3 linked regions of the Schizosaccharomyces pombe genome follow. The gene in region 2 interacts genetically with the main gene of each other region. Each region holds a gene or a part of one and is shown on either strand. Other genes may lie near its edges.

Region 1 (6,546 bases), 2.5 Mb from region 2:
GTATGCGGATCATACAACCTTCTGACAAATTTACAACGCATATGCACACTGACAAAATTCGATGTAAACACCTAAAGCGATTCAACCGCCCGTAAAATGATGACATGGATTTCAAAAACAACAACAAAATTCGAACTTTAGCTTTTACATACTACTCCATGTGCGTTTGTCTATCCTTTGTATAAGATGCTCATGATGCAAAAAAATACGGTCAGGGAGGGACTCGAACCCTCGACCTCACGATTAACAGTCGTGCGCAATAACCAACTATGCTACCCGACCTTCTTGCTTACCTGGTAACACAGGTAATTTTATATATACAACTAATTATATAAGCTCTTTTTATTATTGAAGATTTGAATAGTTTAGTATACAAACAAGTAAATGTCCATACTAAAAATTCCTCCTTTCATATAAAAAAAATAAAATAGAAAACATATAACGCCTATTTGTCGACCCTTAGGAATTAATCACACCTGTTGGTTTGCGATATGAATATGTTTATTGAATTGATGTAAACTAAAATTCAAGCCAAAACTAAAAAAAAAAAAAAAAAAAAAAAAATATATTTAAGGAAAAATTAACCAAATGGGTAGGTAAACAACTATAGTCGGCCATATGAATTTCCTGTAGTTAGTTTACATTCATTTGCTAGTAAGGAAATATAAATCCTATTAGCTTCAAGTGTTATAAGAGATTAGAATTTTTAAATATATAAATAAACCAAAAAAAAATAGAATAGTTAACAATCCCCCGAACATAACCTTTTATCCTGAGCGCTGTTTTGTTTGCTTTGAAGAAAACAAAGAATAACAAATTCAGATAATGAGAAAGTCTCGTCAAAAAATTGTATTTTATATGAATAAATAACGATTGAATCAGTATTAGAAAATTATTAAGTTAGGAGAAAATGGTCCACTGTGTCGGTTATTTGACGAATTGCCATTCCGATAACTAAGGTCCAAAAGAATAATTATGGTAAAATCGAAATAGTACGAAATAAAATAAAGAGTATAAATAACAAATTTACCAATCTGATAAATCACTCATCCTAATGATTGGTATAGGAATAGACAATAAATGCTCCTTTCATGTTAATTACTAGGTGAGCACAGACGGTAGGAAGTGCACGTAAGATGCTTAAACAACGTTCCACAAAACATTAGGAAATAGTACAGCATTTGGTAGTGGCCTTATCCTTCGTCGCTTTACCAGGCTTAAAATGCTGCTGCTGCTTTGTCTTCGAACTGACTGACGGATTTGCTTTAGGCGGAGCAACCGATACCATCATTGGTTCCGGTATATTATTTGCATAATTAGCAAATCTAAAGTTCAGTTAGCAACTTTTCAAACTTTGAGATCAAATCAAGCATTTTTTGTTTCACGTCATGAAATTTGCTGTAAAAACACTTACTCCTGTCTTGCTTGTTGAACCGATATTTTTTCATTCAATAAAGCCTCTGTTTCCATTTGTTTAAGGACCGATCAACTACAATTTCAATAAGTAATGCCTGTTAAGTAAAATTATAGCCTTGCCTGACCATTTCATCATACATATATGTAGGTGTGCTTCTAAGCGCACTAAGTATCGTTATTTGATTATGTTGTTTAACCTTATATTCCCTAATATAAAAAGAGGAAAAAAAATAGAATAGCAGTTTTCCAATTGTAAATTTGACACTACTCAAATGCCTTTCACTTTCAGGATTTTTTTATCTCTTTAGTTTGTTCTTTCCAAGTAGAATACGCATATATTACACTTCTCTTAACAAAATAATTGTTAATGCGAAAACATATAAACAATAAACTTGTGACAGATACAAAGATTTTGTCATTGGGAGGACAAAGTAGATACTTTATGTTGATTGGATTTTTAAAACGAAATTATGAATTCTGCTCGTAAATTTCTTTACTATCGTTGTCTTATTTTCTAAGTAAAGAAGTTACATAACCAAACTTCCTATAACTCGAAGTAGATTAGTAAATTCAACCACCTTAAGTTTCCTTTTTTTTTAAAAGAAAATTTATTATTTTTTATTTAGACTTCAACAATTCTTTGGCTATAGATTTGTTCGTTTATTTTTTAAATCTCAATTAGGAAATGCTTTAATTAGAGTTGAGCATTGTTTCAAGGGAATAGTTAAAAGATATTTGCAACAATTTTCATATTTTTTATTTTTATTATTGAATACATGGGGTTCTAATCTTGGTATCTCATATTAATAGTAAACTCATATCCTAACTTTAGATGCGATTTTGCTTGGAAATTTGGGGAAAGAAATAAAATCAATATGATATGTTTTTCTCGTTTCCGTAAAGTAGAACTAATTAACTACATACATCTTCGACTTGAAAAAATCACCATCTTATTATAGCTTTTATACATCTGGTACTCGTCACTGGCCTATAACCAGTTGGCCAATTCTATAACCTACAGTGTTCCGACTAGTTACGAGTTTTCTATTATGAGCTTAAATCTACTAGTCAATCAGGAAGAATTAAAGAGATATCTGGATGAATATGGTGGTAAGAGTTTTTCAATTGATGCATTTTTGCAAGTCATTCTTTTATTCACAGTTTCATAGTATGGTCCAAAATATTTCGCGCGCTGTTTGTCGCCCGTAATTCTAAGCCGTTAAGAAGTTTTTGTGTTCATTATGCCATTAAAGAATTGAAAGAAAAGACATATAATCTAGAGTTGTACCAGTCTCTATTCGAGGAGTTTCAAGATTGCTTCGAAAACGAGCAGCTGGACGTAGAATGGGTTGAAAGCGTTACTTTTCATAGGAAACAAAATCTAGAACAATTAAGAAGGGAACTAAAAGCCTATAAAAACAACTTAATACGAGAATCTATAAGAGTATGAGCTACAAGATAACTTTTTGCTTCACAGACTTTTTATTACATCCTTTGTTACAATTCTAACAACTTTAGGCGGCACAACTAGATTTAGCTTCTTTTTTTGCTGATGTGGGCCAGTTTGATAGTGCTTTAAGATCATATGCCAAAGTTCGCGAATATTGTACAAATGCTGGACAAATTGCTCATTTATCCTTAGAGTTAATGAGAATTTCTATTTGGATTGGTAATTATTCTCATGTACTAGCCTTCGGGTCTCGCGCCAAGTCTACTGTTAGTGCAGCCATGGAGCTAACTAGTCCTATTTATGCATACTGTGGATTGGCCAACTTTTGCTTGGGTGATTACGAAGAGGCCCTGGCTCATTTTTTAAAAGTTGAAACTGATACCTCTGATGGTATTATTACAAAAACTGACATTTCAGTGTATATCTCACTTTGTGCACTAGCGTGCTGGGATCATAAACGTCTGATTCAAGAGCTTGAAAGAAATGAAGAGTTCAATGCTTTGTCAGATTTAGACCCTTCCCTGAGACGTTGTTTGCAAGCGAAATGTAATCGCAAATATAGTCTTTTGCTTGATACATTACAGCAAAATGCTCAAGACTATTCTTTAGACATGTATCTGGCTCCTCAATTGACAAATTTATTTTCCCTTATTCGGGAGCGTTCACTTCTTGACTATTTAATTCCTTACAGTGCTTTGCCGTTCAGCAAAATTGCAGTTGATTTTCATATTGATGAGAACTTCATTGAGAAAAATTTATTAGAAATAATCGAAGCCAAAAAATTAAATGGCAAGGTGGACTCTCTTCAAAAGGTAAGTATAATAAATCTGCTATATTGGTCTAACTTTATAAGCGTGTTTATATCGAACCTTCTTCAGAGCCTGAAAACTTCGAGGACATAAAAAATATCGCGCAAACTAGTTTGCTTTACAGCAAGGCTCTTTACTTACAAACATTGGCGGCGATGAACACTGAAAATACTGACGACGAAGCTCCAGTTATCGCTCAAACGAACATTACCGCGGAAGATTCACAGAACTAACAAAAAGCATGCACATCATATAATTGGTTAATCCTTTACTTACTTTTTTTGAAATTTCATTAATTATTTAGCTTATGAAGATTTAGTTGCAGCTGTTGTAGCTGTTGCCTTTTGTTGCATAATGTTTTGAACGGCTACAGAGAATTAGCAAATTGTTGATAATAAGATAAAAATTGATCTGTACTGTAAATGCTCATACCTCTAATTTGAACTGATTTTGCGTCAATGGCATTGTTGAGGTTCTCGATACTGCTGGCGAGATATTCACATTTTCTTTTATAATATTCGGTAGCTTCTCCAGCGGACTAATGTCGTTAGGTTTAAAAATCTCTTATATATTAAAAATACCTTTTCAACGTAATAACCAGTCCCAATATCGACCAACAATTTACTGTTTCCTAAATTCAGCTTTCCAGGAACATACAAGCTTGAAGTCAAAGGTACCAAAACCTCCTTTCCTATTGACAATAGTTAGTGAAACATATGCAAAAAAAATTTCAGTTTGTCTATACCATCGTTCTCAGCCCGCACAGCATCGTTAACGTTTGCCAGGCATTCACGAAATTTCAATTGAGCACGTCCTAGTTGTCCATAGGAGGTCGATAGATACTCTAGCTCAGAATCTAACTGTTTTATAACTTCTGATAATTGCTCCAAGCTGAGAGAAGTCAAATCGACCGCTTTATTACCTTCAGCCATTATTACGCTTCTATTAGAACAGTCAAGATACGAAGGAACTGGTAGAAATTCCAACGCTGCACTGCATTAAATTACAGGTACATGGTAATCCATTTCAATATACAATCAGTTAGTTGGTTGAAACAATATTTGTTTTAAACAGTTATTCAGAATTATACCAAACAGTGAAAGTAGAATCGAATATGTTATTGAGCAGAGGGACGCTATAGAATATATCAATATAGATGATAGATTTTTCAATAATTAATAAATTATGAGCATGAAGATTAACAAAATTTGGGAAAATAATACTAGTTAGGATGCATTATAGTGCCATTGATTAGAAGTTTAAGTATAGCTTTTTAAGCATCATTTTTTTTGTATGGATCAAATTGAAGCAAATCTTTATCGTTTTCTACAACATCACCAACATCATCTTCGGTATCTGAAGAATTTGAAGGTGTTTTTTCAGTCGCCGTAGTTTCCGATGTGGTAATTTCAGAAGTAGTATTTTGATTGCTAGTACCATTTGCGGTACTTGGACGAGAAGCGGGTTTATGCCCACGAAATGTTTTACCAATCCTATTGGTATCAATTACCAAAGAATCCAATAAACCTCTCAAACCTCCGGTGGTTGATGATTTTTCTTGGACTGGAGCTAAAACGATAGAGTCGGCGAGTCCTCCAGAAAATAATTGCTCTAATAAACCAATTGATAAAACAACCATTCTAAAAGTGGGAAGACTAACTTTGATATCACTATTAGCACCAACAGAACGGTTTTCAGAACCAGTACTGCTCATATGGTCGCTTATATCAATCAACGTATCAGAATGACCATCAGGACTAGCTTCATCAGCAAAATGAAAGCAGCGTTGTATGAATTCGCTAACTGCGGATAGATACTCATCACCCATAAACCTAGTTAACCAAAGAATAGCTTCTGAAACCTTCAAAACGTCTGGTTTATCCATAAAACCATCTCCATTAAAGTCATAAAGCTCGAATATAAAAGATATATTGCGCATTACATCCCTAAATTTCAATTCTGCAATACCGGACACCAAATCCTGTAAAGATAATGATCCAGTCATGCTTTTGTCAAATCGTAAAAACAAATGACGAAGAAAGGATGATGAATTATTGATAGCCGCTGCATCCAAACCTTTCGCCCATTCAGTAACTCCTGCTAAAAATATACAAAATTCGTCAAATTCCAACCGTGTATCAGTAGAGCTGCCTAATCCAACTCGATGTTTGGACGACAATACTTCATGATAACGGTCGTAAATATTACTTAAATCCGTACGTGTTAATGTACCGTAATTTTGTAAACTCCTAATTTGTGTTCTCTTTGCAAATGACTCAATAGAATTCATAACTCCTTCGTAATGTTTTTTCCTTTCATCTTCAATTAAAGAGTGTGTTATATGGCTAAACTTCTTGAAAGCAGTTACCAATAAAAGTTGAAACTTCGTGATAGAGGCAACGCGTTTATCTGTTGCATCTTTATAAGCCTTATCTCCCAATGATGAAAAATAATTTTTTAAAATTGATATCAACATAGTGTCTTCTGTAGCCTTCATAATTTCAGCTTCGTTGTCATATAGGATAGCCATTCCAATTTGAAACAAAACCCTTGGACCCTCTAGAAAGAAAAAGTCTAACAACCTAAACGCATACGGTAAAGGCATTGTGCAAAGGAAAAGCGACAAAAACCACGGCAAAGAAATGATGCTAAGTTGAATGTCTTTGCTTACAAAATGCGCATGTAAGTTAGGCATTGAGCGTTGAACCAAACTTTCGTAAACTTGTTGATCAATTAGAGTGCCGTACATCGTCTTTGAGTAATAACCCGGAATGTAATCTTCACAAATCTTATGCATCAGAAAAAAGGTTTGTTCCTCGGTGCAATGAATTAAAAGAGCAGCTGCAACAATATTCATTGCCTGACAATAAC
Region 2 (8,589 bases):
TAGTAAACTCCTTAAGAGGGGTGTCCGGCGTACTTGTAGCAAAAGGTTTTGTTTGCACAACTTCTGGAAGAGAATTGGATTTAGTTGTCTGCTTTTTAAGTACACCACAAAAGTCTGACATGACATCGCGAATGAAAATTCCCAAAATCCTTTCGGGAAAACATGCAGCCATTTCAGCATAAATTTGAAGATCTTGCTCACCATTATCACCTATCAAAACGATTTTTCGATCACCCAGAGACCGTATTGCAGTTAACAAGCTGCTACGCTTACGTGCGGCGGCGGGCTCGATAATGTTTTGGAGTACCCCATTAAAGTGTCTAAGATAAATGGAAGATATATAAGGCATGTTATCGTTGGTAAAAAATTTGGACAATGTGGGCCATAGTTGCCAAGGAGAATTACTAACAAAGTGTACAGTAGCGTTGAGATTTGTCATAACACGAAACCAGTCGGAAACGCCCTCGATAGTCTGTGTATTTAAAGGAGCTAAAAGGGTGGTCTCTCCTACTTTCCTAGGCCCTTCAATAACTCTTGTATTTTTCACAGTGTCATCAATGTCTGAAATAATGGAAATACCGTTTCGATCTAACACGGGTACTTCGCTCATATAAGCTTTGATCACTTTATCCTCCGAGGTAGATTGTAGAAGAACAGCTTCCACAGAAAACTTGTTATTTTTAGTGGTGTAAAACGGGATCACTTCATCTATAATAAAATATCCTTCAACATTCGTAGCAACGTTAAATTCAGCAACAACTTTCTGCTCAAAATTCTTATCAGTAGCATATATTTTTACCAAAACAAACTCATCTTTTAAGCCTCGTTGCAGAGACGCTAAAGAGCGCTCCTCAAAGTATTCCTCACATTTGGCCAAACCTATAGTAGAAATGTATTGAGAATTTACCGAAGGAGTCATAATTCGATTAAAAAATCCTGATATTCCATACCCCGATTGATACCAACTCCTTGAGGCAGACAATGAAGGGTTAGGTACATTCACGCCATTTCCCTGTAAGTCGTCGGGAGTCGTATGCAGGGACAAAGGTGGATCATTCTCAGTTTTAGAGGTTGATGATAATTCAATATCATTAGGCTTTCCATCATTCACGTTCACGTTCAATTGAGCTTTCGTGTCTACTACAACCTGCAAATTTGTGTTTTCGTCATCCTTTTCAGGATATGTTCCCGTTTCTTTGGATTTTGGAGGCAGACCGACATATCTACGAAGTAAATTCAACATTAAACGATCTTTACGACCAAGATTATTGAGATCAGGGTTCTCGTAAACCCAACCGCGAACATGAACTGATATGTGCTTGGGTTCACTACCGTACTCTTTACCAGTACTAATGAAACATTGAGGATAAATGGTTATTGAAGTCAAATCATTGATAGTAGGGCTCTCTTCAGAGCCCCTAAACAAACGTCCAAATGATCGAAACATGGACGGTAAGAGCCCACCCCGAAACGTAACATGTCAAGCTCAAAATAAGCAAATTTGAACCCATATGCATGCGTTAATAGCGTTTATCGTAATATTACCGCAAATACTTAAATTTTGTTAGAGCATTTAAGGATTATTTAGAATACGTAATATTTCAACTCAAAATACTGGAATGAGTGGGAAAGAAAAATAAATTGATCTAAACGCTGAAATTAAACCTAACAGGGGATTGATTAAAGCTTGGCTCACGAAAAGATATTATGACTTAAAAATGCAAGAAAAAGGAGAAACAATCAAAGGACTTTCGTTGATCTCGTAGGAAAAGAATGCACTCTCAAATTGCATTATTAATCCTACATTCAATTAATTAGCTTTTGCTTTCATCCATGCAGTCACGGTTTCAAGAGAAAAGGATATCAAATTTTCACAAAGAAATTAAAACAATGATTAACAAACTAAATGACACAAGTTTTCTAAAGTGCTTGGAGTAATGAATATTATCTCACAACTAGAATTAATCCTCAAGGTGCTCTTCGATGTCTTCATCATCATCAGCGTAAGCATCAAGAGGAGATTTGTCTTGATTCTTAAAGTATTCTTCACGTTGTTTGCGAATACGGCGGCGTGCTGAATAACCCCAACGGAATTCGGCATCAGGATTTTCTTCTTCTTCCTCATCATCCGTGTCAAATTCTCCATGTTCTTTGGGCTTCGTGCCATGCGTCATTTCCGGATCTAAAGTACCATCTACTTCGCCTTCTAATAAAGATTTTCTATGTTCTCTCTCCTGTATCTTGGCTCCCAACTTCATCAAATATGGCCGGATTAACATATATCCTCCAACATATACGATAATTCGAATCCAGTCCTTCAATGAATATGATTGTAAATAGCCTGCAACGTCAAACCCCATTTTCCTTGCACAAAAAAGAGTGGTGGATACTAAGTTCACCTGTCTGCTCAACCAGGCAAACTATTATTAACCAAGTCACTAAAATTCTTTAGACTTTTTTAGAATTTTTAAAACCTCGTTATTCGTCTTAACGTATATTCTCAATGATATGCTGTAAAAAGATTTATTAATTAGGCTATAATACTAATTTATTTAAAAATTTTATAGTTATTTGCTTTCTTAGTTTATTTTAAAATTATTTTCATACAAATTTTACTTGGTTTACAGTATTTATACCGTGACTTATGATTCTCTTAAAAGAAGAATTTTCCAAATTAAATAGAACGTACAGTAAATAAAAAATTATATAACATAAATATAAGGTGGGATTTTATGAAGTAGACATATGTGCTTAGAAAATAAATAGAAAAAATGCGAAAGTAAGGTTCACTACTAAAGGCGAAACGAAGGTGATAACTTCAGCAGTGCTTTATCAGAGTTCCCAACTATCTTCTTCTTTGACAAAACTATCATTAGAATCATTCAAGGTTTCTAATTTCCTCTGCAAAGACAGGCTTCGCTCGTTGGCTTGCTGAGAAGAACCCACCCCCATGGTATGCGGGCTGAATTGGATAGTTTTAGGTGGAGACATTCCACTTGGGTTAATGCTATCATAGCTTTCATGCTCAAATTCTGCAAATAAAGAAAGAGCATGCGAAGAGTTTCTATCGTTAAGTGAAGGCATGTCCATTTTCATTGATATGGGAGAAGGCGATACAAAAGGAGAAGAATCAATATCCATTACTTCTTGAGATTGCAAATTCTTAGGCTCACGTGGAGTCACTTGTACTTGCCAATTTGTATCTAAAACGCGATGCAGAAGGGCACTACGACCTGTATGAGGATTATTTTCTGGTTTTCTTAGCGGAGTCTGCATCCTTGCCGGGATGGGGGTCAAAGCTGCATCATCTAACGAAATATCCTCTAAGGAGACATCCATCTTCTTAGGAGTGGACTGTACAAAATCCTCGTTTTTTGTATTATCTCCTTGTACAGCTGCATCGGGAAAATCAGATTTTCCGACAAAAGAATGCCTCTTTTCCAAATGTTCATTCTTTGTGTGCAGCTGTAGGTCCGCCTCTGTAGAATTAGACATAACATCTTGATCGCTTGGATTGGATTCTACTGGAACAGGTTCCTCTACACCCGAAAGTGAAACATTGGCACTTGCTTCAAAAAACTGCTTCCAAAACTGTTTTCTGTTAGCTTAATTCTTAAAATAATACAAATTACAAGCTGAATCATGAGTGGCAGTTGCCATTGAACATACTTTTGAAGAGTCCCATATAGTGTTACAATTTTTTGCGTATTTTTCCACGATAGGCAAGATTTTGGTAGTCACTGTTCGATGACATTTAGAAAAATTTGCATCAATTTCGTAAAGTGCTAGAGTAATCGATTGTTCCAATCGTTCTAATCTAATTCTTTTGTTAGAGAATGTTTATCTACAGTCGCGACAAGTTTACTGCATACTGTTCCAAATTGTTCATAAGAATGACATCTAATACTCATAAAAACTTTGAAAATATTATTTCTTAGTATAGAAACTCTCAATGGTGAAATTTATGGCGAACTGCAACTGAGGTGTAGGTATACTAGCGTCCATTATTAGCGATGTTTCGTAAAGTAAACAAGTTAAATTGGCAATATACAGTGAGATTTTTGTAAGTTCAAGATAATACTAATACAATCATTGTTGAGTAATAAATATGAATTTTAAAGTTTTGTTTACTTTCCTCAGTGGACTAAATGCAGACTGCAATGATCAAATGATCCATAGTAAACAAACATTCAACTTGTCTTTTGCCAGCATCCTCAAGATCCAAAATGAGTAGTATCTTTGGAGAGAATATTGTTTCAGATAGTATAGTAAATATGGAGTTGACGAACCCTGATAATACTACGACTATGCATCCCATCTATGAAACTAACATTGAAAAGGAAGTCCAGCAGGAGTTTTCTGACAATGTCTCTGAAAAAGAAACGATTGACTCAACTAAAAGCAAAATATCTTTAGAAAATATACAGCAAGAAATGGGAGCACTTGCCAAGAAAATTTTTCATAAATTAGGGGTTAAAGCAACCGACTTGGGATTTTCTAATGAGCATGATGACTCGCAGGATTCATTACAGACACTAGCGCCTTCTCCATCATATGTTCCACTTTTGAAGGTTATTGGAAGCTCTGAGGAGGTCAATAGCAACTTGGTATTAACCGACTTGGAAACAAATACTGATGGATATGATCCTAAATTTTTGATTTCTGTTAGGAAGTTTTTGATGGGATCTCCCAACTCTGGCTTTGTCGTTAAACATGAGAAACGTCTTCCAGATGGACCGCGTGTTCTGGCCCTTCGAGCCATTTCATCAGTCGATGAAGAAAATAGAAAAGAGCGCCTATCTCCTGATAGTGATCCTGTTGAAACAGAATCTGTTTATGTTGACAATGGAGAATTGTCAAATCAAAAAGTAGAAACAGTTGAAATTTCCGAAAAAGAACAAAATGATGATCCCGCCGGATATTCTCAATACCTTCTAGAGTTCAAGAAGAGTAAATGTCAAAAGAAAGTGCCGACTTTAGAGAGTATTGAGGAAAATGAAGGAACGGAACCTCATGACAACTTGACCTTTATGACTGATTTGGGAACTCCATACTATTCTCTGGGTAATGAATTTGAAAGAAAGCAAATTTTGGATGAATACGGGTTGCTGGCTAATGATGAAAACCTAGTTATTGGACACACGTTAAGAGCGGAGTATTGCTTTATGTTTGATGAAAGCGATATCCTGCAATTACGCAATTATGAACATACAGAAAAGGAACTTAGTGTCCTTCAATTTAAAGGGGTCTCGTCACGTTGGGATTTTCGTTGCTGTAGAGAAGAACGTTTACTCCGATTGCTACTATGTTTCGACAGTGAACATACTGGGCAATCTTTCATTCAACTGAACGATCCTGAAAATGAAAATGAAAAGGAAGAACAAAATTCCATTAGCATTAGGGAATTATCCTACTTCAGCACAAAACTTATTTCATTGATCTTACCCAAAGAAGCACATAAGCAGCGGTATATCATGCTAAGCTCCTTAGCAAAGACAAGGGAAGCTGATTTCTTTTGGTCTGAAGAGGAAAAAACTAATTATACAAACGAGCTTCTCAGCAACCCATGCAAATTCCTTTGTGAACTAGATCATTTCGATTCATTTCCTCATCAACAACAAGATCTACTCTGGAAGTACTTAGCGGAGTTTTCTGCTAGTTTAGAGTTAGACCCCAACCTTGCCCTTTGGAAGAAGCAAGTTATTTTTTCAAAAATCGGTCATCCGAAGTTGCTGGTTATGCCAATATCTAGTTTCCACTGCGTACAACGTTTCCCTGACCTTGTTTGCGTTCAAACTTCAACTGCTGAAACGTTTTTGTCTGTGGATCGTGAATTAACAACTTATGACCTAAACACTATTAAGTTGTTAAACACAGCACCTAGTCGTACAGCTCAAAACTGGCTTTTTATCATGCATCACCTAGAAATTGTAGGCTATTTATTTCCACATTTGGTTCATCTCGATAAACAGTATAGTTTATTAGATTATGCAAAGTCTGTTGAGCACATTCCAGAATTGGGCACTGTACAACGAAAAGGGTTTTTGAACAAAGTCGCATTTGATGATAACGAGGCTTTACTTTACCAAGTTTAAACGTACTGTCACATAATTTTCTATCACATGTTATCGACCATTCAGTGTTGAGGTTCCTAGGAATCTCTTCTAGGATGGTAGTGTACCTTTTAAGCGAAATTTTGTTTCATCTGCACATTCATTATTTACAAACCTATACGAACTTGACAAAAGTTTTTACGAATATACTAAATATTGACTTATTAATACTTGAAAATATTATCACTTTTTTTGAGGTGGTCTAAGTAAAAATGTGTAGGTCGAATTCGTCACATAGGGTAATAAATGTAAGTGTAGGACCGTTAAAGTATGCTCTAAATAATCTTTTAACATATAAAAAGTAATGTGGATTATTTGCAAACACCATAATGAATGTTGATCAAAATACCGGTTCAACGTCGATAAATAACAAACAGCAGAGCCCACCGATACACAAACCTAAAATTGCAAAGGGACTTTAATAGTCGTATAATCTGGAGAATGAAATGCTTAGCGACCGATCATTGCAACGTGATAATAGGTTGGCTTAGGTGCTTTGTTTATTTACATTTCAATGTTAGTTGTCATGGAAACGAAATTCATACAAAATAAAGCGTATGCGGCTGTAAACAAACAAAAGATTCAACATTTACATTTACCCATTTTACCCAAAAATGGGGTTTCATGGATGTTTAAGTACAGATGAATATGAACCTGAGTTAATTGAGAAATATGGGAATCCTGAACCACCTTCTTCAAGCATATTAATTAATACACGACCAGTCAATCCATTTTTATCCACTTTCGTGTATGTAGGAAAGGCTAGCAGTTCTGAAGATGTGTCTATATCTACAGGTGAGGAGGAAATGCGAACCCTTTTAGTTGCGTCTGCTGTTAAAGATGCAAAAGGTTGGGTGTACCTTTCCGGAAAAGACGTTGAAGAAATAAAACAGAAAATAAAAAACCTGCAGGGATTACTTGGTGTTTCTATAAAAAAACTGGCTGTCGAAGCCAAAATTAGAGAAGCTGCTAAGAATTTGATGGTTGCCCAAGCTAAGGAGAAAAAAGGAAAACATAAACAAAGTACGATAGAGCATTACGAACAATGTTCTCGTAGAGTTAGAGAACTTTCTTCTAAGATATGGCTTATTGAAAGGAAACTTGCAGAATTTTATATGCACCTATTGAAGCATATGGTTGCTGTGTGCATTGCTGAGCTTAAACCAGGTAGCTGTAGCAAGGTATCTTCACCGGTTTCTGCCATCACCGCTGATGAGAGCGCAACTGGATTTCGAGATGAAGAAATAATGAACAATGAGGAAATTGAGCAGCTTGTAGAGCGTATGAGCCGTATACTGGAAATTGCTCAATCAATGGGTAATTCAATTCGTGAACCATCTGTCCTAGATGCAGTACAAATGAACGCTGGTGAACGGCTACTCGAGCAAGTTCGTCACTTAGAGCTTATTTTGAAACAAATATACGAGAAAAAGTTGGAGGAAGATGCTGATGCGAAAGATATTGCTCCTCGCGCTATTGTGAACTTTTGGCGGTTACTTACTGAGCTGTTTCGCGGCGACAATGATACGCCAGAGAAGAGTAATGCACTTCCTGATGATGAACTCGATAAACATTTGAAATCTGATTTTGACATTGAATCATTTTGCTTTCTTCTGCACCATCTATTGTCATTATACCAAACACAAAAGAAAGAGCTTGCTTCAAGCAATGAACTTCTAGCAAGTGTCCGAGATGAAAATACGAAAAAGCTTAAGGAGCTTCAAGATATCATTGAAGAGCAGAGTAAACATATGGCTCGCCTTCATAGGGAAGGGTTTTCTGAGGCCGCTGAAAATAACGATAAACCTAAAGAAACAATGCCTTGTACGTATGATTCATCTCTAGCAGATGACCATTCGGATACCTCCAACCTGAGTAAAGATAAGGCGAATACACTTTGTGCCCAGTGTTCAGTATATCTTTCTGAAAAGTATCAGCAACAGCAGTCCTTGTTGCAATTGGAGTCTAATATCCAGCAATTGGAAAATGAGAAAAAAGCTGCCAAGCTTATAGAAAAGGATCTGTTGTCTCAGATTTCTCATGTCAAACTGCAATTTGAGCAACAAATAAAGGCACATCATTATGCGAAAGACCAGGTTAGAAATTTGAACGACGAGATGGTTGCCTTACGTGCTGAGCTTGAAGTTGTAAAGGCTATGAATTCCCAGCCTGATGATCCCGATTCCGATTATGCAATAAAGCAGAACAATGCATTGCAGAACAGATTAGAGGCTTTGACAAGAGAAAATGAGTTATTACAATCTCGCGTTACAACTTTGGAAATGGAAAAAGAAGTTCAGGAGAAGAACTCTGCTACTGTAAGCAACCTTACGCTAAAGCAATTGCAAATGGAGAATATATTTGCAAGCCTCAATTTGGAGAATTCATTTGATTTTGGTATGCCATTAATGGGACCATACACTCAACAAAATTTGCAGTTAGAGGATGAAATTTCTGAAATTTCTAGTCCTTCCTA
Region 3 (5,625 bases), 1.7 Mb from region 2:
AAACGATTGCTTTCGCATTCAAGTATAAATTTTTTGCATTTTGCGGAGTACCTCTTTTTCCACCGGGGATTTCAACAAACTCATGGTTTGCTTCTTATGACAAAGGAATTTACAACTTGCTTTTTGGCATGGCTTCCAGTGAATCCTTTATAAATGGACAGATAGCTGAGAAAAACAGCTTTCAATTTCCCTGTAGTATACTACCTTCATACATTGATCTCTTCATTTCTCTTATGTCGTTTAAAAATTTAAATTTCAAGTTATTTGATTACAACCTTGCACATCATGTGAAGGAATCAATGGAGCGTGCTTTTCATCAACTAGTATTTTCGGCGGACGATGAGTATTTAGCGAGCGTTTATTTAATTTATTTAAAGCAAATGGAGACGAAGAACCTAAGTGAGGAGAAACCCCAAGTGAAGTAAGTAGATGTTTTTGTTTCCTTCTAACCAAATTCAGTAAAATTGTAAAGAAGATTCTCAAAAAATACGATAGTTCAGTGTCTGTTTGGAACACTTACGCTCAATTGGAACACTTAAGTGGTGCTTTTACTATGGCTGAAACAATTTTTAAAACAATTTTTCAGATCCATGCTTCCCAATTGCGCTACATTGATAATTTAAATGTATACAAAAACTGGGCTTTTAGAAAGCTACTTATTAATGATACTGAAGGATGCTTAGTTATTATAAAATGCCTGTTGTTTCCTGGTGATAAATCTTTAACTAGCGATAATAATCGAGCATCCGAAATGCTATTTGGTATGTTGGAAAATTGCGCCAGCAAGGAAGAATTGCTGTATGTTTGTCTTATCTATACTATATGGACACACTGTACTGATATGGATTCAATGGATAATTGTGTGTATTTATGCATTCAAAAATTCGAAAGCTATGGATGGGGGGCTTCTTCAGAAATGGAATGCTATTTTTCTTATTGTTCATTGATTTTTTATTATCAAGCTACCACTCTTCAATTCTATAATCTACCCAAGGTTCGACCTTTTTTTGAAAAGGGAGTTACACTTTTCAGTGCAAATACGGCTATATGGGAAGTTTATATATTTTTTGAATCTAAGTTGAGACAAGAGAACAAACCAAAAATTAGGGCTATGAAAATTTTAAAATCTGCTTCAAATGCTGTTGTTACAGCTTGTTGGTACCTTTTTTATGTTGCCGTTCAACAGATTGAGCCAACAAACTCACAGTACTTTTTAAGGACTTTGGATATCACTCTAAATAATGAAAAGTTGAAATCCGTCGCCAAGTTTTGGAGAATATATTTAAAGATTCTCAATTTGCGATTAAATGGTACTGAATGGGTTTCGGCGATTACCACCAAAGCATTGGCTTCCTGCCCCTGTAATAAAGGTAAGTTAATTAAAAACATAGAACATTTCACTGACTAAGTTTAGGGGTTTGTATGGACGTTATAGACTTGCTCTTGAAAAAAGAGATGGAGAGTCGGGCTATTATTTGCTATATAATCATGTTGGAAAAAGGCTTTAGAGTCCATAACGAAATAAGGAGAGATGTTTTAAAGTTTGAAAGAGGAGATGAACTTATTTTGTCCCCAAACTGACATTATTACGATCAATGACTTTTAATGATAGAGATAGTGAAATGAGTTTAAAATGACAGATTAGTTACTTTCAAGTTTGCGTAAATGCTTTAGTAGTCTTATTATTAAAGTTTTCACTTTTGTTTGTTAAATGCTTATATGGTTGCTTTTACGTTGAAAGGGTACCTCTAAGCAACCATCATGGCAGTACCTACTCAATTACTACACAACCTATTGCTTATTACAAAAATCTACAACACAACATGTCTAGCGTTCCCATAAGAACGAATTTTTCACTGAAAGGTTCTTCCAAACTTGTTAGCGAATTTTTTGGTTTGTAAATGTTTCAAATATGCCATGCTAACTTAATGAAGAATATGCGGTGAACTCAATCCTTTTTCAACGAGGAATTTACCCAGCAGAAGACTTCAAAGTTGTTCGGAAATATGGATTAAATATGCTTGTCAGTGTAGATGAAGAGGTCAAGACTTACATTCGAAAAATTGTATCTCAGTTACACAGTGAGTTGTTGTTCTATTATCACTTTTGGAATTAACAAATTTTTAGAATGGATGTTTGCAAAAAAAATTCAAAAACTGATTTTGGTAATTACTAGTAAATGTTCAGGTGAAGATTTAGAGCGGTGGCAGTTTAATGTGGAGATGGTTGACACAGCTGATCAATTTCAGAACATTGGCAACAAAGAAGATGAACTGCGAGTACAAAAAGAAATTCAAGCTCTAATTCGTCAAATCACTGCTACAGTGACCTTTTTGCCTCAACTAGAAGAACAGTGTACGTTTAACGTTTTGGTATACGCTGATAAAGACAGCGAAGTTCCAACAGATTGGGTAGACAGTGACCCTAGGATTTTAAGAGATGCTGAACAAGTTCAATTACGAAGTTTTAGTACGAGTATGCACAAAATTGATTGTCAAGTTGCATATCGAGTGAATCCTTAGTTGTTTTTTTTGGCATGATCCTTACCTATTAGATGAGATAATAGAAAACAAAGCTTTGATGTGTTCTATAAATCTCAAAATTCCGGCCATATTGTTTAACTATAATTCGGTGAATCCTATGTTTGTTTTAATGTCCAATATTTATAATTTTGTGACGCATCTCTATTCTATCCATTTATTTAATAATACTTTTGCATTCTTTAAAATATAATCATCTTCTCTTATTCATTAAACAAAATACACTATAGCAACAGCTCGCAATGATGTTTTCATTGAAACTTTGCGGCAGTAAATCAACATTTTAAACTGATGGTAGCATTTGCGAGGTAAGATTCTATATGCCAAGGTAACGACATTCATCTCTTGAGGTAGGTTTCTGACTACAAAATGAACACAGTAGCAAATAATTTAACAGAATTGAACAATGTGTATATCATTTTAAATATCAAAGTTAGAAATTCTAATTTAGTCAAGACGTGTTCCTCAATTTTTTTAAGACTGTTGAGAAGCTGGAATATTATTGTTAACGGAGTTTTCCGTATTTAATAACATTATCACTAATAAACATTAACTCGCGTTATCTATTAATAACGATTCAGTATGTATGACATCTATTCATCAGTTACTTAGCCTTTACTAGTACTGAGTGTGAATCATCGTTTCCTCAGAGAATACCAAGACTTGGACGGTTCCTCTTTTCTCTTTGCTTCTTGAATTTTGGGGCTATCTAGTTTTTTTTTGAAATTTCTTAAAGATTTATTCTTAAAAGCTTGAGGATTTCTGCCTATAATTGCAAGAAAGAATCAGGTTACCACTAAACTAAAATCCACATTCGGCTAGTGAATCTGGAGAGTTGATTGTGGGGACTTTTGTTTTATCCACTTAAATTACGCTTATAGAAAAGCTACGAGCGTTCCCTAGAAAACCTACGCATATGAGCAGTTATCAGATCGCACTGTTTATTCATCGATTTAATACGTAGCTTCTTTTTGGTTAAGATCTGACAATTACCATACTTTAGATGAAAGAAGAAAACGGTTTTGCTGGTTTCTTGAACACTGCGGTAAATAGGTTAAGCGGCGTTTTGAATGATACTGCTCCAACTAAATCCCAAAGCTTGAAAAATGGAGTCAATAACGAAGGAAATAGAGGTTTTAGCTTATTCCGTAACCCAAGGTTTATGAGTGATGAAAAGCTTTCTTCAGAGGCGAGTAGCCATTCGACTTTAGGTCAACAACAGGCCAGAGATGGTAGGCAGAGTCCATCTAAAGAGGCTCCATTCGGTGAAGGCGAATTGAAACTGGAAAATTTTGAAAACCAGGAGAACGAAGCAGATGAGGCAGAGAATGAAGAGACAAGTTATTCAGAGCAAAACCATACAGAGAATACTGAAGAAATAGCTGAAGAATCCAGACCACTTGAGCGTACTCATTCAGGGTCAAATCACCATGAAGCATCTTCAACTGGTCACCTTAATTTACCTCCATTAGAAAACACCTTGAGTCAAGGCTCTGCTATTACAGCACCTTCTCGGAAAGTCTCTATAACTTCTTCAAATGGTGTTTCTGCCCGTCTTTCTGGTTATGCGTTTGCGAATAGTAAAAGAAACAGAGATTTCCATAGAATTTTTAAAGTACTCCCACCCGAAGATCATTTGATTGATGACTACGGTTGCGCATTACAACGTGATATTTTCTTACACGGAAGGATGTACCTTTCTGAATCGCATATATGTTTTAATTCCAGCATCTTTGGTTGGGTCACCAATATTGTTATACCAGTTACAGAAATTGTTTCAGTTGAGAAAAAATCAACCGCTGTTGTATTTCCTAACGCTATTCAAATTACAACATTGCATGCCCGGTATATTTTTGCTTCATTTATTTCTAGAGACACTACTTATCAGTTAATTATTGCAATTTGGAAAAATACACACCCTTTTTTAACCACGCTAGCCAATGGCCATGGTGTTATGGATGCTTCTGGGAATCATCACAGTGGTTCTTCAAACCAGTCAATAAACGCAGACTCTTCCGCAGGGTCTGAAGGTGTAGATGAAGGAACCAGTACTGAAGCTAATGATGAATCAAGTGAGGATGATGATGAAGATAATAACACTGATGAAGCAAATGAAGATGCACAGTCCAATGTTTCTGATGAATCACCAAAAGGTGAAGGCTCTTCCCATTCAGACAACGTCGTGTTATCTGACGGTAACTCTGTTAAAAAGATGAATGAAGATGGGGCAGACACTTCACTACTATCTGTTTCCGAGGTGACTTCACACCCTCCAACAGAGTGGACAGGATCGCCATTAGCGCATGTATTATGTTCTGATGTTGTTAACCTTTCAGTGTCCACCGTATTTAATTTACTATGCGGCTCTGATACCACATGGATAATTAACTTTTTTAAATCAGAAAAACTTACAGAAATTAAAATTGGAAAATGGGAAAAAATTGATGATAAATGGAATCGTAAGGTACAATACATCAAACCCGTTGCCCCCCCTTACCGACAAACTAGTTGCTACATTACCGACACAATACAACACCTTGACATAAACAATTATATTGAAATTTTATCTACTACCTCAACACCTGATGTTCCCAGTGGTACTTCATTTGTCGTAAAGACCTTATATGCACTTAGCTGGGCTCATTCTTCAAAAACGAAATTAAATATAAGCTATTCAGTGGAATGGAGCAAAAGTTCGTGGCTTAAAGGTCCAATAGAGAAGGGCGCCCAAGAGGGACAAGCATCTTACGTTAAAGATCTTCTGACTGCTTTTGAGAACTATAAGGTCTCTCCTAAGGGAAGGAGGAAGAAAATAACTAAACATACCAAGAAAAAGAATAAGCATGCGTCTGAAACGTCTGTTGCTCCTGAAAAAGTAGACAATTCTTCAATCGAGCAATCATCATCTTTTCTCACAAAATTGTATACCTTTCCCTTTACCATAATTACCTGGCTAATGCATCCTACACACTTACTTCTGGTGGTTATGTTTAGTATGCTTGTATTGCAATGGTGGTACATGCAACAAATATTGCATGCTGAGCTTCCCTCAACATCTTCTCGTTCAGATTCATCCAGGGACTTA

Evidence for each region. A genetic interaction does not mean that the proteins touch.
Region 1: mutations in ask1 (region 2) and pfd5 together harm fitness more than expected from each alone (negative genetic interaction), as found in Schizosaccharomyces pombe (3 studies listed by BioGRID, with this or other methods).
Region 3: mutations in ask1 (region 2) and mad2 together harm fitness more than expected from each alone (negative genetic interaction), as found in Schizosaccharomyces pombe (3 studies listed by BioGRID, with this or other methods).

What each region holds. Positions count from the first base shown.
Region 1 is NC_003423.3:4,025,479-4,032,024, reverse strand, and holds pfd5 (prefoldin subunit 5), read right to left. Parts: upstream 4,620-6,546; 5' UTR 4,608-4,619; coding exon 4,421-4,607; exon of another isoform or gene 4,367-4,420; coding exon 4,257-4,366; exon of another isoform or gene 4,214-4,256; coding exon 4,108-4,213; exon of another isoform or gene 4,043-4,107; coding exon 3,981-4,042; 3' UTR 3,909-3,980; coding exon of another isoform or gene 3,720-3,908; 3' UTR 3,679-3,719; coding exon of another isoform or gene 2,935-3,678; 3' UTR 2,882-2,934; downstream 1-2,881. Other genes in the region: heterotrimeric G protein gamma subunit Git11, read right to left, coding at 1,163-1,325, 1,415-1,470; COP9/signalosome complex subunit Csn1, read left to right, coding at 2,466-2,526, 2,586-2,860, 2,935-3,678, 3,720-3,908; SPOM_SPBC215.01 (GTPase-activating protein), read right to left, coding at 4,949-6,546. UniProt on the Schizosaccharomyces pombe protein: Binds specifically to cytosolic chaperonin (c-CPN) and transfers target proteins to it. Binds to nascent polypeptide chain and promotes folding in an environment in which there are many competing pathways for nonnative proteins.
Region 2 is NC_003423.3:1,559,676-1,568,264, forward strand, and holds ask1 (DASH complex subunit Ask1), read right to left. Parts: upstream 3,977-8,589; 5' UTR 3,890-3,976; coding exon 3,873-3,889; intron 3,818-3,872; coding exon 3,670-3,817; intron 3,592-3,669; coding exon 2,833-3,591; 3' UTR 2,651-2,832; downstream 1-2,650. Other genes in the region: app1 (actin cortical patch protein), read right to left, coding at 1-1,447; protein trafficking protein Pga2, read right to left, coding at 1,962-2,360; protein meu25, read left to right, coding at 4,227-6,095; septation protein Uds1, read left to right, coding at 6,728-8,589. UniProt on the Schizosaccharomyces pombe protein: Component of the DASH complex that connects microtubules with kinetochores and couples microtubule depolymerisation to chromosome movement; it is involved in retrieving kinetochores to the spindle poles before their re-orientation on the spindle in early mitosis and allows microtubule depolymerization to pull chromosomes apart and resist detachment during anaphase.
Region 3 is NC_003423.3:3,292,452-3,298,076, forward strand, and holds mad2 (mitotic spindle checkpoint protein Mad2), read left to right. Parts: upstream 1-1,823; coding exon 1,824-1,893; intron 1,894-1,934; coding exon 1,935-2,081; intron 2,082-2,127; coding exon 2,128-2,522; 3' UTR 2,523-2,744; downstream 2,745-5,625. Other genes in the region: nrl1 (NRDE-2 family protein), read left to right, coding at 1-421, 460-1,370, 1,415-1,581; sterol transfer protein Ltc1, read left to right, coding at 3,544-5,625. UniProt on the Schizosaccharomyces pombe protein: Feedback control that prevents cells with incompletely assembled spindles from leaving mitosis. It interacts with the anaphase promoting complex/cyclosome (APC/C) thereby inhibiting APC/C-dependent proteolysis, a step required for exit from mitosis.